Neurospora crassa OR74A: one gene and its partners. The protein of the gene in region 1 interacts with the protein of each later gene in a biochemical or structural test. Links are inferred from orthologs where the notes say so. Each region holds a gene or a part of one and is shown on either strand. Other genes may lie near its edges.

Evidence for each region.
Region 2: the proteins of pex5 (region 1) and pex13 form a complex in vitro, tested with the Saccharomyces cerevisiae proteins (4 studies listed by BioGRID, with this or other methods). The link is inferred for Neurospora crassa OR74A from reciprocal best matches to the Saccharomyces cerevisiae genes PEX5 and PEX13.
Region 3: the proteins of pex5 (region 1) and NCU08935 form a complex in vitro, tested with the Saccharomyces cerevisiae proteins (2 studies listed by BioGRID). The link is inferred for Neurospora crassa OR74A from reciprocal best matches to the Saccharomyces cerevisiae genes PEX5 and PCS60.
Region 4: the proteins of pex5 (region 1) and pex14 form a complex in vitro, tested with the Saccharomyces cerevisiae proteins (3 studies listed by BioGRID). The link is inferred for Neurospora crassa OR74A from reciprocal best matches to the Saccharomyces cerevisiae genes PEX5 and PEX14.

Annotation. Positions count from the first base shown.
Region 1 is NC_026501.1:8,571,282-8,575,486, forward strand, and holds the start of pex5 (peroxisomal targeting signal receptor), read right to left. Parts: upstream 2,838-4,205; 5' UTR 2,297-2,837; coding exon 2,126-2,296; intron 2,053-2,125; coding exon 310-2,052; 3' UTR 1-309. Other genes in the region: NCU16466 (nucleic acid-binding protein), read right to left, coding at 3,682-4,205. UniProt on the Saccharomyces cerevisiae protein: Receptor that mediates peroxisomal import of proteins containing a C-terminal PTS1-type tripeptide peroxisomal targeting signal (SKL-type).
Region 2 is NC_026501.1:2,931,242-2,935,273, forward strand, and holds the start of pex13 (peroxisomal membrane protein), read left to right. Parts: upstream 1-1,206; 5' UTR 1,207-1,727; coding exon 1,728-1,782; intron 1,783-1,859; coding exon 1,860-2,390; intron 2,391-2,456; coding exon 2,457-3,244; 3' UTR 3,245-4,032. Other genes in the region: NCU02617 (kelch repeat-containing protein), read left to right, coding at 1-273. UniProt on the Saccharomyces cerevisiae protein: Component of the PEX13-PEX14 docking complex, a translocon channel that specifically mediates the import of peroxisomal cargo proteins bound to PEX5 or PEX21 receptors.
Region 3 is NC_026505.1:5,752,050-5,756,157, forward strand, and holds NCU08935 (peroxisomal-coenzyme A synthetase), read left to right. Parts: upstream 1-1,485; 5' UTR 1,486-1,818; coding exon 1,819-3,387; 3' UTR 3,388-3,551; downstream 3,552-4,108. Other genes in the region: NCU08934 (hypothetical protein), read right to left, coding at 1-922. UniProt on the Saccharomyces cerevisiae protein: Catalyzes the first step in a degradation pathway of oxalate to CO(2) to protect the cell against the harmful effects of oxalate derived from endogenous processes or an environmental sources.
Region 4 is NC_026506.1:2,098,009-2,102,004, forward strand, and holds pex14 (peroxisomal membrane anchor protein), read left to right. Parts: upstream 1-1,461; 5' UTR 1,462-1,875; coding exon 1,876-1,915; intron 1,916-1,995; coding exon 1,996-2,321; intron 2,322-2,377; coding exon 2,378-3,115; 3' UTR 3,116-3,477; downstream 3,478-3,996. Other genes in the region: NCU03899 (HEC/Ndc80p family protein), read right to left, coding at 1-699, 803-853. UniProt on the Saccharomyces cerevisiae protein: Component of the PEX13-PEX14 docking complex, a translocon channel that specifically mediates the import of peroxisomal cargo proteins bound to PEX5 or PEX21 receptors.

The DNA of each region.
Region 1 (4,205 bases):
GCACCAAGCCCCATCTTCGACTTTTCACTCCCCAACACAAGCTGTTAACAACCCCGACAAGCCAGCTACATTCGCTTTGTACAGTACTTAATATTTGTATATTCACCAAAACTCCCTATAATCATCCGAACATAGTGTACTCGCCTCACTCGACAAGTAACCCTCGTCCAAGTCCTCATCACACCACTGCTGCTCCTCCTTCAAGGCCTTCTCCATTTCGACATCAACATCGTAGTAAACATCCTCCATAGCGTCATACCCAACCATCCACTCCTGAGCCTCTTCTTTCAACTCCAACTCTGACTCACTCTAGAAATCAAACTCACCACGGAAGATCTCGGGATCCACGCCCGTAGTAACCTTCTCCGCCAGATCCCTCCGTCCCATCTGCGTGAACACGCGACGGAGAGTGTCGTAAAGGGTCGTGCTCCTGTTCTGCGTCATCATGTTATCGATACGCGAGTCGCTATCACCCGCATTGCCGCCCAGCAGCTCGCGCGCCTTCTCGCGTCCGCTCTTCTCTACAGACTTGTGCATGTCCAGCGCCGCGAGCAAGTGACCCGCGGCCTCAGCATGGCAGCCAATGTTGATGCACGAGACGCCAAGGTTGTAGCGGGCGCGGACAAAGTTGGGGTGAATGGCGAGGGCCTTTTCGTAGGCGGCGATGGCCTCCTCGGAGCGGCCGCTGTTGGCGAGAGTGGCGCCCAGCCGGTTCCAGAGCAGGTGGATCTGTTCGCGCTGGTTGGAGGTGCCGAGCTCGGTCGAGTGCAGCGCCGACTGGAAGCAGTCGACGGCCTTGTCGTAGTCCTCGGCGCCGTAGAACAGGACGCCTAGGCCGACCTGCACGTCGGGGTCCATGTGATCGCCATCGGGAGCGAGGCGGGCCGCCTCGAGGAAGAGGTTGGTGACGCGCTCGTGCAGCTGGGCGCGGTCGGTGAAGCCCATGTCAGCGGCCGAGGAAAGGTTACTGGGTGAGATGACGCTGGGGTACTTGGTCGACAGCCAGCGCTCGAGCGTGCGGTAGGCGGTGCTGTCGTAGCCCTCGTTGGTGTAGGAGACGGCTAGGCCCATCATAGCAGAGAGGTTGTTGGGGTCGAGCTTCATGGCACGCTCGAGAGCACGGATGGCAGCTTCTTCCTTCTCGTTCTGGGCTTGCGTCTGTCCGAGGTAGACCCACGCCTCGGTGTGGTCGGGGTTCTTCTGGACCGCAGCCTCGAAGGCCAGAGCAGCTAGCGACAGGTTCCCGCCCTCCTTCATGATACGAATACCCTCTTCGAATGGGTTTGGTGTCTCCCTGAAGAGGTTATCTTCCTCGAAGAGGTACTCTTGCACGATAGGGTCCGCGCCGAGCCTGCCGTTCAGCGTCCAATCTTCCTTTTCCAGGTTCTCACTGTCGAACTTGGCAAAGTCGTCCTGGACATCAATCTCGTCCAACTCCTTCATGGCGTCTCTTTCGGCCTGGATACCGCGCCAGATGGATTCGAGATCGCCAGCACCAGTCTCGGAGTGAAGTAGCGCCTCGTCCATCTTGTTGAGCTCGGGCTCCATGGCGCGGGCCTCGTCACCATTGATCTCCAGCTGAGCAAAATGCTCTTCCCACTTGTTCTGGTCGAGCTCAACAACTTTGCCCTTACCCTTGCCCTCGGGCTGTAGTTGTTGCTGGGGAATGTTGTGCATCTGAGGGCCGTGCATGCCGACCATGGGCTGGTACATGGGTCGCTGCATCATGTTGTAGTTCATGTTGCCCATGCCCATCATGCCACCACCCATCATGGGGCGCTGAGCAGGCATCTGGCTGGCGGTGGCCGGCGCCGCGGCGGGGTGCATTTGCTGGAACTTTGAAAACTCATCGGCGCTGAACTGAGTGCCAGGCGGCGCATTGAAGGCGGCTTCCATAGCCGCCTGTGTGTTGTGGAAGTCCTGAGCCCATGCTGGCGAGGCGTTCGGGGCGCGCATGTGGGCGCCTTGGCTCGGGTCGAGGTGAAGCATATGTCCTTGTTCGAGAGGCATATGAGCCATCTCCGGCGTTTGGTTTAGGAATCCGTTCACCATCTGTTCGAGAGGATCGTCATGTCAGCCAAGAGCGCATGCCTTGCCGTCAACAATATCCATGAAGATTCCTTACCTCATCTTGGCCAGGCCCGCGGTTAATACTCCGGAAGCCACCAACCGCAGCATTGGGACCTCTGTTGGCAAGTCTGTCATGTTGGAGGCTCTTGTCGTCTCCAACATGCTTGGTAAACTGACTGAGCGGGTTGCCCGCCGTCGAACACTCGGCTCCACCCATGAAAGACATTTTGAAGATGTTGGATATTAATGCGACAATGGCGATGTTTCGGCGAAAGTTGACAACGAAGCCCAAGACAGAAGACAAGATGGGCGGCTCTTGTACACTATCTGGTAGACGAAGTAGAGCGCTATGCGGTCGACTGTTGGGAAAGCAGCGGCCCGCGCAAGTTGTAGAGGCAGGCTGGAAGTAGCGGTAGCTAGGTAGATTTTTGCGCAGGGCAAAGGAAGGATGACTTTAGTTTGGAAGAGGGAAAGAAAAAAAGAAGTGGAAGTAACAAACAAGCCAGGCACGGGCGTGGTGAGCTCGTGGAGTTGATTAATTAGTGATCAAGCGGCGGTGTCCAGAACTGAAGTTGTCCAGGTGAAAGAAAGAAGTTGACCGACTCTCGCGGGATGTGTGGCAGGTGTGCTGTCTTGTAAGTAACGACGGGAGCCCACGGATGCACGGGCGGGTTGTCTGGGTCCGGCATGTGTGGATGGCAGCAGCGTGGTTAGAAATCGGGCTCTGCATGCATCTGAAGTGAGTTGGAACCTTGGGCGCCAAAAGCTCAGGTCACTCAGGGGCACAAGGGGGGCACCGCCGTGCGCCACCTGAACAGCTGGAAATGCCGAGGCAGCCAGGGCACCTCAGCCAGCCATCATATCCACCTCACCGCGCTCTTGTTAGGTCTTTTTGGGCTGTGGCAGTTGCCGGCCACACCTCAGGCACTTGTTGCCTGGCCGCGGCTATTACTGGTAACCCCGCCAATGGAGTGTTGTCAACCACACCTCACATGGAGCCGAACCCCAGCCCGGCCCGTGGAGTACACCCCCGCCCCCGCCCCCGGATCCATCATCGATCCCTTCGTTCCTTCAAACGACAGCCGAGAACAATCGGACGACAGCGGAGTGCGGAAATCATACTCGCATGCCGACAGCACGGCAATGTACGCAAGTTGAAAGGGAAAATGAACAATCAAACGATGCGTTTCGAGCAGATCGTCACGTCACGCATACGGGATGCAGGACGCAAAGAAGGTACAGAAGACCACCCCTCTATTCGTACATATGTACAGCGATATAACCAACAAAAAATGGTAAACGAAAACAACTAGTCGCAGTAAGAAGAAAGAAGAGAAGATTTTTCGTAGTTGTACAGGTATCATTGCAAGCAAAAGGTCAGGATGATGTACGCAGAGTGATCGTACTGCAAAGGCGCCACAACACCAATCCCACAGTTTCCCAATCCCAATGTGCCCCAATTTTGGCAACATTTGTCAAGAAACACAACCGGCCTCTTTTCTTTTTTGAAAACCGAACTTGCCCAGTTTTGCCCTCCATTACATCCGTTTCCCATCCTCTTCACCCAGTCATGTCGTAACCATTACATGCCCTCGATTGCGGCTTGTTAGTTTAGAACTCGGTGGACTCGCCCTGGTCGCGGCGGTTGTAGTTGCGGTCGCCACCCTCGCGGTTGTAGCTGCGGTCGCCACCCTCGCGGTTGTAGCTGCGGTTGCCACCATCACGGTTGTAGTTGCGGTTGCCACCCTCACGGTTGTAGCTGCGGTTACCGCCGTCGCGGTTGTAGCTGCGCTGACCATCGCGCTGACCATCACGCTGCTGACGGGGGCGGTACTCGCGGCGTTCGCCGTTGTTCTCACGGGGCTGACGAGCAGCGGCGGGCTGAGCATAGTCAATCTTGATGGTCCTCTCGCCGAGCTGGGTACCCTGGAGCTTCTCCAAGGCGTTGACGGCAGCCTCAACGTCGACGAAGTCGGCGTGGGCGAAGCCACGGGGCCAGCCGGTAGCACGGTCAACGGCGACGCGGACGTCCTTGAGACCGTCAATGCCGACGAAGATGTTGTTCAGCTCGGCATCGGTGGTCTCGTAGGGGATGTTGCCAATGAAAAGGCAGGCAGAGGGCTCGCCGACGGCGC
Region 2 (4,032 bases), about 5.6 Mb from region 1:
GCTGCCACCTTCTGTATGACGCACTGGGGCAGGGTTGTACGCACGCTCGGTTTCCAGAGGCTTCCTCGGGCGGCTCTGGTGGAGCTCTCGCAGGAAGTTGATATGGAAGGCCGTGTGGTTGGCGGTGACGAGCTTGATTTGATGGTGGGGATCGATGGTCGTTACCACGACGGAGGGTCTGGCTCGTCACGGCGTAAAGGGAGCATTAGTAGCAACCATACGCAAGTGCTTGAAAGCGAGCTTGATGAAGACGAGGGCATGGAGATGTCATGAACAGCTAGGTTCCGCTTTCTGTCACGGCAGAGGATGTCTTTTCACCTCGTCGTTATTCTCCTCGTCATTAGATTTGTTCCATACACAAGCACGGACTGGAAAGAGTGGCTAGTTGGACAAAAGGGCGGGCCTTTAGCACGACGGGAATCGGCACTGAAGGGGTCGCAGGCCCGCTAGATGTGTTAGGTCCCTAGTCAGGACTTTGGGTTGAGGTATGACCGATGTGATGGATAGGATAGGTTGGGCAGACTTGGCTTTTCGTGCGATGAGCTTCTCGGCCATCCTTTAGTAAGGAGGCATTCAGGAAACCCAATGGGATCGGGGAAAGATGCTTACTATTCCACAGAGGCATTGCAAAGGCGTTGGCGTAATTGATGGGTATTCATTGTTAGCGTGCATGTAAGACTGGTCGTTTCTCCTTTCTGTCCTACGGCTAGTAGTGTCCATATTGGCAATCCGAACTATTATTCGGACATTCATACGCACTGATCTGAATTTGAGGTTGGCTTGTTGATTAGGTCTTGAAAGAGAACAGCATCGAGCAATTACAAAACAACCGACCTTGGTTGCAACCTGCCAGAATCATCGATATACCGCACCCCCTGAACTTGGAAGTTGGCGAGCTTAATACGTTGACGTGCAAGCATTTCTCAATCCACCATGTTAAGGAACAATTATACTGCGTACATCCACGTTTTCCTTTATCACAGCTTACATCATGCTGATGTTCGTGGAGTGCAGACTGCAGAGTCGTAAAAGACGAGCACGATGCCCAGCATGCAGCTGACCATGCTGGGTCGGTACCTACCTACCATACATAAAGTGTCCATGCAGGCAGTGTTACCCGCTAAAATGTTGCCGAGGTTCACAAGCCGTCCGAAAGCGATAAAAGCAACAGGAGTGGTCGCTCCCGGACTGACGTTCTCCACCTTTCCGCTGCTACGACATCGTCCCCTCCTGTCAATGCTCGATCCCCTCCCCATAGTGGTCTAGGAAAAGTCGACATTTTTATACCCGAAGGGCCCAAAAAGAAGTCGAGAATAAGACTACGATAAATTATCCTCTGATGCCACGCCCGCTGACTCTACTTATTGGCCCTGATCTACTCGCACACACTCTCTCGCGCTCCCCTTCCCTGAACGAATTTACGCGAGGAAGCCGCCAAACCGGGATCCTCAGCTAAGCCCAGCGCCCTCGCCACTGCGGCAACTCTTTGCCAGCCCAGGCGCTCAGCCAGCTCCCAGCAGCAAAGTGCAGCGGTCCTGACGCTTGTCGCATCGCACGCATTCTGTCCCATCGCTTAAGACTGACGACTGGACCATCCCTAACTAGGCGGCCACCAGTAAACCCCCCTTGTTTTCGTCTTCTCCCTTTACCGGTCCATCGAAGTCATTCCTCGAGCACTACCACCGGCCATCAACGGCGGAGGATCAGATAATCCACACACAATCGCCATGGCATCCCCCCCGAAACCGTGGGAAAGACAAGGCGCGACGTCTGGCGCATCGGGTATGTTTTTTTTCCCGTTCACCATTCCATGTGCGCCCGACAAGCAGGGCACTGACATTGAATCCGCAATGACACAGCGCCCGCACCAGCAGCCTCTTCGGCCGCGACGCCATCACCAGAGTCAAACACGACAACAACAACATCAGGCTCAACCCCGGCCATCCCCGCGAGACCTGCCAGTCTGACCGCCTCCGTCAACCAAAATGCCGCCAACTACAGCAGACCAATGGGCGCGATGGGTACATCACCATACGGGGTCGGCGTAGGCTCGTACGGCACAACATACGGCTCTTCATACGGCTCAGCATACTCGTCGCCCTATTCCAGCCCCTATTCCAGGTATGGGGGTATGGGCGGATACGGCAGTTCAATGTACGGCGGTTACGGCGGGTCGATGTACGGCGGTGGCATGTACGGCGGCGGCGGCATGTATGGAGGAGGTATGGGTGGCATGCCGGGCGATCCCAACAACCCGGAAAGTTTGACCAACCGCTTCAACATGAGTACGATGGCCACATTCCAGATGCTGGAAGGCATTGTCGGCGCATTCGGAGGTTTTGCACAAATGCTTGAGAGCACTTATATGGCGACACACTCGAGTTTCTTTGGTAGGTTATATCATCCTACATGCCCACCTCCAGTCAGGCGCAACTGATATACTAACATCAGCTCAGCCATGGTTGCTGTCGCAGAGCAGTTTGGCAATCTTCGCCAAACCCTAGGCTCCATTCTGGGCATCTTCACTATTATGCGCTGGATTAGGACAGTGTTCGCCAAGATCACCGGCAAGCCTCTACCAGCCGATGTCTCCAGCCTCAATCCAGCCTCTTTTGCCATGTTTGATGGACGCGGGAAGGGCGGTGCTGCAGCGGCTGCCGGTGGTGCCGCCGGTGCCATGCCCAAGCCCAGCCGAAAGCCCCTCATCTTCTTCGTTCTCGCTGCCTTCGGTCTGCCCTACGTGATGAGCAGGGTGATCAAGTCGCTGGCCTCCAACGCTGAGGAAGAGGAAAAGAAGCGCCAGCTCGTTGTCGCGCAACAACAAACCATCGACCCGACCAAGCTTGAGTTCTGCCGCGTCCTGTACGACTTCTCGCCCGCCACGCAGGGGAATGGCGAGATCGTCCCGGGCGTAGACCTTGAAGTTCACAAGGGTGATCTGGTTGCCGTTCTCAGCAAGAGCGATCCTCTCGGCCAGCCTAGCGAGTGGTGGAAGTGTCGCGCCCGCGACGGAAGAATTGGCTATCTACCGGCCACCTTCCTCGAGGTACTTAAGAAGCCAGGTCAGCCTGTTGCAGCTATTGCTGGGGCCCCATCCATCAGCATTGACGGCGACACGAGGGCCAACTCGCTGAGCAGCATCCTCAGCGACGCGGATAAGAAAGTGCTGGTTCCGGCCCTACCGGCGGCCAAGGCTAGCGATATTAGCGTCGAGAGTTTCCAGAAGTCGCAGTTCTTTTCTTAGGGAGGCAAGGAACGCAGGCGGAATGATCTCAGCAAAATGCACATCGAGACGTCGCGGTTCATGCCACGCTCTTCTCGGCTTCGACACTCGGTCTCATTCTCTTAATACACGCCTGATCGTGCGAGCTCTGGATCTACCATGTGCAAAGCGCCGGCCTCCTGGGAGTGGCCCAACACCCAATGGCCATCTAATCGGCTTTCCTCTCCAACACAACAATCAGACACAATAGCAAATCAAATCAAAATCGGATTCTCCTTGATTCGGATTCGCCCAGCCTGGTGGAAATGACCACACTTTCCTACCAGGAAAAAATCACCAAGCAGCTACGTAGAGGCACACGAGAGCGCGGTGAGATAATCAGTCGGAGCATTTCCGGAAGTTTTCGAACTCGTCGGAAGGGTGTAAGACGTCACCAAACAAGCATGCATGCCCACAACGGTCAGTTACGGCATTATCATTATTAAGAGAATGACAAACACTCTCACATCTTTATACACCTGCATGACACGATTATTGCGTGGGTAAACGTCTTTTCACCATAAGTCAATACCCGAGCGAGCCAAAAGGGAGATATAGACACAGAGGACGGCCATGGTAAATGGATGAATGGATGCATGGAGTAAGCGGAAGCGGCGAACGCTGAAAGACATGGACGCACGAGGTGTGAAATCGAAAGGGGGGATGAAGGGAAGTGATAGGCGATGTGAGGCGGTGACCACACCGATGGCACAGGGATGGAACGAAGCGTGGCTAATTAGCCTACACAGACAAAGGGGTGTTTGTCTGCT
Region 3 (4,108 bases), on another chromosome or scaffold:
GGCATCCGCCGAGGCAGATTGGCCAGAAGAGGTTGACAAAGGCCTGGTAGGCATTCATGAACCAACCGCCCGGCTTGCTAGAGCAGCACTTGACGTGTTCGTAGACGAACCAACGGCCGCCCGGCTTGAGATAGCGGTACAGGATGGCAATGTTCTTTTGCGGCTCCGGAATACTGCAAAGGCAGAGGATGGAGACTATGCAATCCAGAGATTCAGGCTGGATCTGAGGCGCGTAGCGTTCAATATCCTCGATGCCAAAGGGAAGGATGGTGTACGTTTGCGACAGGCCTGCCTGCGCAATGTTATGTTGAAGCAGCGGGTGAATGCCATAATTGGGCTCGATGCCATACACCTGCGTTATCCTCTGGCGACTTCCCACCACCTTTTTTGTCGTCTGCTTTTGTTGTTGCTGTTGCTGTTGCTGCTGAGAAGAAGGAGTTATCGTCGCCCAACTAGCCGACAGTCCTTCCTCCTCGGCATCATCTTCCCCTCCTTGCCCCTCCTCCTCCTCTTCATCCTTTAGATACTTGTCATCACTAAACAAGCTAACCCACATGCCACTCCCCGGTCCAATCTCCAGCACGACTCCTCCCACTCCGGGCGCGTGCGCTTCGCTCTTGGGAACGACTTGCCCTTTGGATACTCTGCCTTCTAGCAGGGGCACGACGTTCGCTTCGGCGTTGCTGCGCACTTGGGGACCGGCGCGGGACCAGAAGTGGCCGAACCAGACGGATTGGAATTCAGAGGAGAGTAGAGGACCGCCGAGGAGGGCGAGGAAGCGCCGTTTCCGCAGGAGAGAGAGGACAGTTGTGGGTAGGTAGGAGGCGGAGAGGGATAGGAAGATCCACGGGTCGATGAGGGCGAGGATGGTGTCCTTGAGGGTGGTGAATGCCCCGGTGAGGCGGGAAGGGGAGGGGGCCATGGTGATGGTTTTTTTTACTTTGGTAGAGGTGGTTTGTGGTGTTGTTGTGATAGGAGTGAAGTTTGGTGAGGTAGATTTGTCAAGTGTCGTTGAAGAGAGGTTTGGACTCTTCACAAACAGGGTAAAAGAAGGGTTTGGGACGAAAACGCTGAAAAGAAGGGTCAGCGCTCTGTATAATTTTATAGACCAGCCCAAAACTTTGTTCGAACCTCGTGACACCCTACGAATGGCGTGGCTATATGACTTGTCCAGGTTGAACAAGCCTGGATGTGAGTGAGACTACGGTGTAAGAGGGTGTCGTCCTCTCCGCTTCGGAAGCAGCAAAAATAGGTGATGATGGAGACGCCGCCCTTTGACAGAGCGGCAGACAAACACATTCAAAGGTGCGTGCAAAGGCGGGTACAACCCTAACCCGACGTCTTAGCCCCTTATTTCCCCGCTTTTAGACAGCTGTGCTAGTGGTCCCCTGTGGGCCCATGGAGGTTACCGATTGCCGGCCTACTGCCGAACGCGGAATGGGAGGTATTGAATGGCATCATCGGTCTTGGACCGGGGTGAGTATCAAATGGTGTTCCAAACTCGCCTCCGTCGTCGGCGTTCATTGTAATTCTGTTTTACTCAGATCTTTTTGAGTTTCCAATTGAACAAGTTGTCACTCTGTTTACTCCTTCTGTCTCATTTGTGAAGCTATTCCCAGTAGCGGACTCACTTACACGAAGCGTCTTTGCCCAAAGCGGACTGTCCTTGTACTCGACTAGTGTCATTGGATCAGTCATCACAAGACGCCATCAACATCTTCCGAACCACACCAAGAGAAATTTCTGTAATACCACACCATAAAGGTCACAGAGTTCCACTTCATACTATCAATTGGAAAAAACAGAAAAATCAACGTCATGCCTTGCCCATTTGACCTCCAGGCCGCCATCCAGGGCGCCGATAACGATGTGGCCGTCATCATCCCCTCCAAGCCGCAGGCGCTCACAGTCACCTACGCCGACCTGAAGCGTGAAACCGCTTCGTTCCAGAAGAAGCTGGCAGACATTGGCATCACCAAGGGTTCTCCGGTCTCCATCGCCACCGTCAACTCGTACGAGTTCATCGTCTCTTTCCTTGCCGCCTCGTGGCAGCGCGGCATCGCCGCCCCTCTCAACCCGGCCTACAAGCAAGATGAATTCGAGTTCTACATCGAGGACGTCAAGTCCGCCATCGTGATCGTCCCCAAGGGCGCCTACGCAGCCGGTGCTCCCGTCGTTAAGGCCGCGCAAAAGTTCAACGCCGCCATCGCCGAATCCTACTGGGACGCCGCCAAAAACGAAGTCGCTCTCGACGTCAAGGAACTCGGCCAACTCACCGGCAAGGGCGCCCAGCCCGTGTTGAAGCCAGACGCCGACGACATCGCTCTCGTCCTGCACACCAGCGGCACCACCTCGCGCCCCAAGGTCGTCCCGCTCACGCACCGCAACCTGACGCGCACCATGAAGAACATCCGCAACACGTACCAGCTCACCTCTGCCGACCGAACCATGCTCGTCATGCCCCTCTTCCACGTCCACGGCCTTTTGTGCGGTCTTTTGGCCCCCCTCCTGACAGGCGGCAGCATGATCGTCCCCGCCAAATTCTCCGCCACCGATTTCTGGTCTGACTTCATCCAGTTCCAAGCAAACTGGTACACCGCCGTGCCCACCATCCACCAAATCCTCCTCAAGCACCCGGTCCCCAACCCTCTGCCCAAGATCCGCTTCATCCGCTCCTGCTCCTCCCCTCTATCACCCACCGTCTTCCACAACCTCGAAAAGACCTTCCAGGCCCCCGTCCTCGAAGCCTACGCCATGACCGAAGCCGCCCACCAAATGACTTCCAACCCGCTTCCCTCGGTCGGCAAGCGCAAGCCCGGCACCGTCGGCCTCGGCCAAGGCGTGGAAGTCGTCATTCTCGACGACAAAGACAACATCTTACCCGACGGACAAGAAGGCGAGATCTCCATCCGCGGCGAAAACGTCACCAAGGGGTACCTCAACAACCCCGAAGCCAACGCGTCCTCGTTCACGCGTAAGGGGGGCTACTTCCGCACGGGCGACCAAGGCAAGAAGGACGAGGACGGCTACATTGTCATTACGGGCCGCATCAAGGAGCTGATCAACAAAGGCGGCGAGAAGATCTCGCCGATTGAGCTGGATAATGTCCTGACGCGCCACCCGGCCGTTTCCGAGGCTGTTAGCTTTGCGATCCCGGATGAAATGTACGGACAGGAAGTCGCGGTGGCGATTGTGTTGAAGCCTGGTCAACAGAAGGTGGATGCGGAGGAGTTTAAGCAATGGGTGGGAAGCAAGCTGGCCAAGTTCAAGGTGCCCAAGAAGATCTACTTTACGGATGTGATGCCCAAGACGGCGACGGGCAAGATCCAGAGGAGGATTGTGGCGGAGGAGATGTTGAAGAAGGAGAGTAGGACTAGTAAGTTGTAGGTTTGTGGGTTAGGTGCTGTAAAGGTGTGGATGGATGGATGGGTGTGAATAAGGTCTCGGAACTGAAAGATTGTTGTATACGTAATGGTCTATACGGTTATCATGTCAAGTATTTGGTGCAGAACGTCAAATGTAGAATTCATTTATACTGCGGTTTGCTCGAACCTTTCATCGTTCACAACTGAATGTCAGAATGATCAAAATATGTGGACAGGTGAGTAGATGTACGTAAATTCTCTTCCAAGGAAGGTATACTCACTTGGTTCATAGGAGCTGCAAAGTCACTGACTATGTTGAACAGAATGATGCTGATGGACCGTATCACTGAGGTACCAAACAATCAGTTTACTGACTTGTTCTAACCAGCTGGACGGGTTCTCAGACTTACCTCTGCAAGATCTTGAAAGTCCAAGAACCTGCAACCAAATTCCACTTCGACTACTCACATCCAAATCGCAATATTCCGACTTGAACAAGACACTCTGAATTAATCTACCTGAAGCAACGAGACCCAACAATGAGACGATGATGATGCAACTGCCTTCATGAACGCCAAACTGCGACATGAAAAGCCAAATGAAAACCGACCAAACAACAGATCGTAAACAAACACAATAACAAGCATCTTTCGACAAGCGCTAATACCCTCCTCCATACTTCCATCTCCCGACTCGAGTCCACGGTAAATGAGGTGGTTGGCAAACAAGCCTTCGCTGATCAT
Region 4 (3,996 bases), on another chromosome or scaffold:
ATTCTGACCTCCGACCGCGGCGATTTGGCTCTTGGTGATGCTCTTCTCGTATGGGTATCGCAGTTGTTTGAGTAATGGTGGTACCTCCTGGTCGATATTCTTCTGAAACCGGTAACTCGGGTCTATCCTGTGGTAAAGCCATTGAAACAAGTAGTTGAAGTCCTTCTGTGTCGGCGACTTTGTGAAGTTGTCGGACAGCTTGTGGTTCATCTCCATCTCGAAATTGTTCTTGGCGAGGTACTCGAGCAACTCCTGGCCAATGCGATTTTGGAATTGACGGTCTTTGAGGGGGCGCGGATCGCGAGGCACGCCGGCGGGCTGGGGCGCTTGCTGGAAGAAGCTCATATGCCCACCAGCTAAGGGACCTCCGCCGACGGCCGACGGTCGTGCGCTTGGGCGGTAGACGCTGCTTCGCCGGTCGAGTTCTTGCGATGATCGAGGAATACCGGAACTGCCTGGGGTGCCATAGGGCTTGAACTGCGACGTGTTCATGTTATGAACCGACGCGCGCTTTACCGAGCCCAGGCCAATGTCGGAGGATCGCTGGAACAGAGGTTGGCTCGGTCGCGGGAGGGCCAGAGATTGCCTCCCCGACAGAGAGCGACCATGGCCCGTTCCTATTGTGCCGATGGTGCTTTGTCGCTTAAGTGTGGAGGGTGGTGCCGGAATGCCCGACGTGAGGTTGACGCCATGGAGAGTCTACAGAGAGAGCAGAGTCAATATCGTGCATGGTCGCGTCGGATGGGGAGAGGTTTCGACCGAGGAAACACGCCGCAAAGAAAGTCACGGGGGGAAGTCGCACCTCCCTTGGCCGTCGAACACTCCAAAGGCCTGCGTTGCTGTCTTGCGACATGACGGCAAAGGCCTCGTCAATGTGCGCCTCCCTTTTGCCGTCCTAGTCGCGTGGTTTCCGTGATAATATATAAGCAAGCGAACAAAAGAGTGTTACACTACGTGCAACTGTGTCGGATCGATGTCGGCGATGATTCTCTTGGTGGTGATTATGTCGGATAGCTTTGTAGAGCTAAGGTATGCGCTCGAGTTAATGTGGGTACGTGTTCGCGGCTCTGACAGAAATCAATGCATAACCGCAGTCGCGGATTTCGTCGTGTCGTAGCGATAAAAGTACGTGTACGGCCAGCAACCTAATGCAGGCCAGCATAGGTATGTAGGTAGATTAAGACACCGTAGTGTAGACGGGACTAGGTTGTCGACTTCTGCGGATGGTGGGGGAGGTTGCTCCGTCAGGAAGAGTAAACAAAAGAAAGGCGACGTGGGTGGGGCTGTGGAAATCATTGGGCTGAACAGTGCCAAGTGCACTCCAGTTCTCGTCCCCAAGCATCGGGACGGCAGGTGAATGACGGGAGTGGGTCCAAAAGCGACCTTGAGGGTGAGTGTTGGCTCGCTTCAGGTCAGTGCTTTTTCAGCTCTGCACTCCCGTCTCTGAGCCAGTCACTGCATGGAATGGATGCTCAGCTGCGCTCTAGGCCTGTCGGAGGAAAAGGAGAGTCAGGGGAGGAGATAGTGATTTATCTGATCAGCATGCCTCCACGAGTGTGCTGGGGGTGCAAGTGATGCGAAGCTGTTAAGGTGCTATTAGCAGTCCACGTCTAGTGTACAATCAGGCCCCCGGTCCCGTGAACCTCGGCTTCAGGACTCCATCCAGCGGCCCAGCCATCCCCCGAACCGCTGCCAGTCAGTTCGTTTCCACTTCATCTATCGCATTCAGCCTCCCGTCCTTCGATAATCATTCCATCAACCGCCGCCGTCTGCCATCGCGTCGCGACTGTTTCAGCTGTCTGCTTCTTTCCTCTCGTCTGCCCAGTCTCAACAAGGGAACGCCATCTGCCGCATTTCGATCAAACAACATCAGTCATGGCCATCCGCGAGGACCTGGTCGCTTCGGCGGCGCAGTGTATGTTCTGCCCCTGTCTTGTCCCCTGCTACCTCCTCTACATTGCCAGGCCAGAATCTCACCCGACAACAACACCACAGTTCTTCAAGACCCCAGTGTCGCCGCCTCGCCAATCGAGAAGCGGATAGCCTTTCTCCAAGCAAAGAACCTCACCCAGGAAGAAGTCAGCGCTGCTCTCGCCCGCGCCGAATCAGGAGGTCCACCGCCACCGTACGCCCAGTCGCCCGCCTATGCGCAGTCGGCCGGACCCGTCGCAGCACAGGGTGGCTCTCCGCAGTACTATGGCTATCCCCCATACGCATGGCCGCAATCGAATACCGACGGTGTCAGGCGGGACTGGAGGGACCTGTTCATTTTGGCGACCGTAGTCGGAGGCGCGTCGTACGGCCTATACAATCTCGGCAAGGTAGGCCGCCGAACACCGTGCAATGTACATAAAAGGAAATTCTAACCGTTCGGCAGCGCTATGTGTATCCTTTGATTGCTCCTCCCACGCCGGAGCGTCTCGAGCAGGACAAGAAGTCCATCGACGAACAATTCGACAAAACATTCCAACTGGTTGAGCAGCTGGCCAAGGATACCGAAATCCTCAAGGCCTCGGAGCAGGAAAGGACAGAGAGACTCGACAATGCCCTCGAGGAGCTGGAGACTGTCGTCAGGGACCTCAAGGCAGCCAACAGACGCAGAGACGACGAAGCACAGAGAGTACGGGACGATGTGCAAAATCTCAGGGACTCGATTCCAAGGGCACTCAACAACCAGAAGGACTTGACCGACAACAGGCTGCGCGAACTCAATACCGAACTCAAGAGCCTCAAGACCCTCATCTCGCAACGCATGAACCCAACCGCCACCTCGACGAGCGTCAACAACTACCTTCGCCCCAATACTAACGGAAACGCCACTCCTTCTTCAGCCCCTGCCACGCCAGCCCTCGGCGGTGAGAACGGAGACTTAAACAGCAGAGCCGCGAGTGCGCAGGATGAGCAATCCAGATACCAGCAGGAACAGCAGTTCGCTCAACCTGCTGCCCCCAAGCCTTCGCCTTTCAGCAGCGGAATTGCCTCTGCAGGCAAGCCGACTATCCCTGCTTGGCAGTTGGCCATGGCCAACAAAACCGCGTCGGCTTCGACTGTCGGAGTCACGAACGGTACTACAAACGATGGCTCAAGCAGCAACGGAGGCGACGAAGCCGCTTAAAAAGCTGTTCTCCAGTCAGGCACAAAGATAAAATAGCACCGGAACTGGGAAACCTGGATACATTAATCGGCATGAGCATAAGGCCAAAGTGAGCGACTCCCTCTGGTTTTCTGTATAGTAATAAAGCTCCTGTACGTTGTTCAAGCAGGACAATACACAGGAGCACTTGTGAAGCATGGGACAACCTCATTCAGTCCCCTTTCCATGATAGCGCGTTTGTATTTCTGCAAGGTCTTTAAGCGCGGACGTTGCATGGCATTTTCCTAGAGCATGATATCAAAAGCTACCATTTTCACATCTTATAAGGTTAGGCCGTGAATTGATCTGAGACATCCCGTACACCTGACCGCCCAGTATTTCTGCCTCACTATTTTGACCGCTGCTATGGCATTGCCGAGACAAATTTTTGGTTATTGTCCTCAGCCACCCAAAAAAACTGGAGGGGAGGGGCAAAAAAAAAAAAAAGCCATGATCGAATAGAGATGCGCAAACGGTCAAAGAGGGACAACTGGCTTTGGTTATGTCGCCCTCTATTCAGGACTTTCAGCCACATCGGTACAGTCAGAACACCGCGGCCTCTGTAGAGAACTAAAGGATACATTGTAGTGTAGGTATTGATGTCGCTGCCAAATCATTACCTCAGCGTAGCATATGCGTACCCGAGAGGTCGGATGCGGAATATTCTCTGTTAAGACATCCCGGGTTCAAGGTACATACACCTTCGTGCCATGGTTCAGTTTCCAATCGCATCTAATAGTCCTCGTAGCTATTACTTGATCGGGCAATGCTTGCTTGGAACCAAACATTGACCCCACCCATCATCCCTTTCTTCCTGTGCCAATGTTCTCATAGCGCCTTCGTCTCGCCCAAACCCGAAGGGG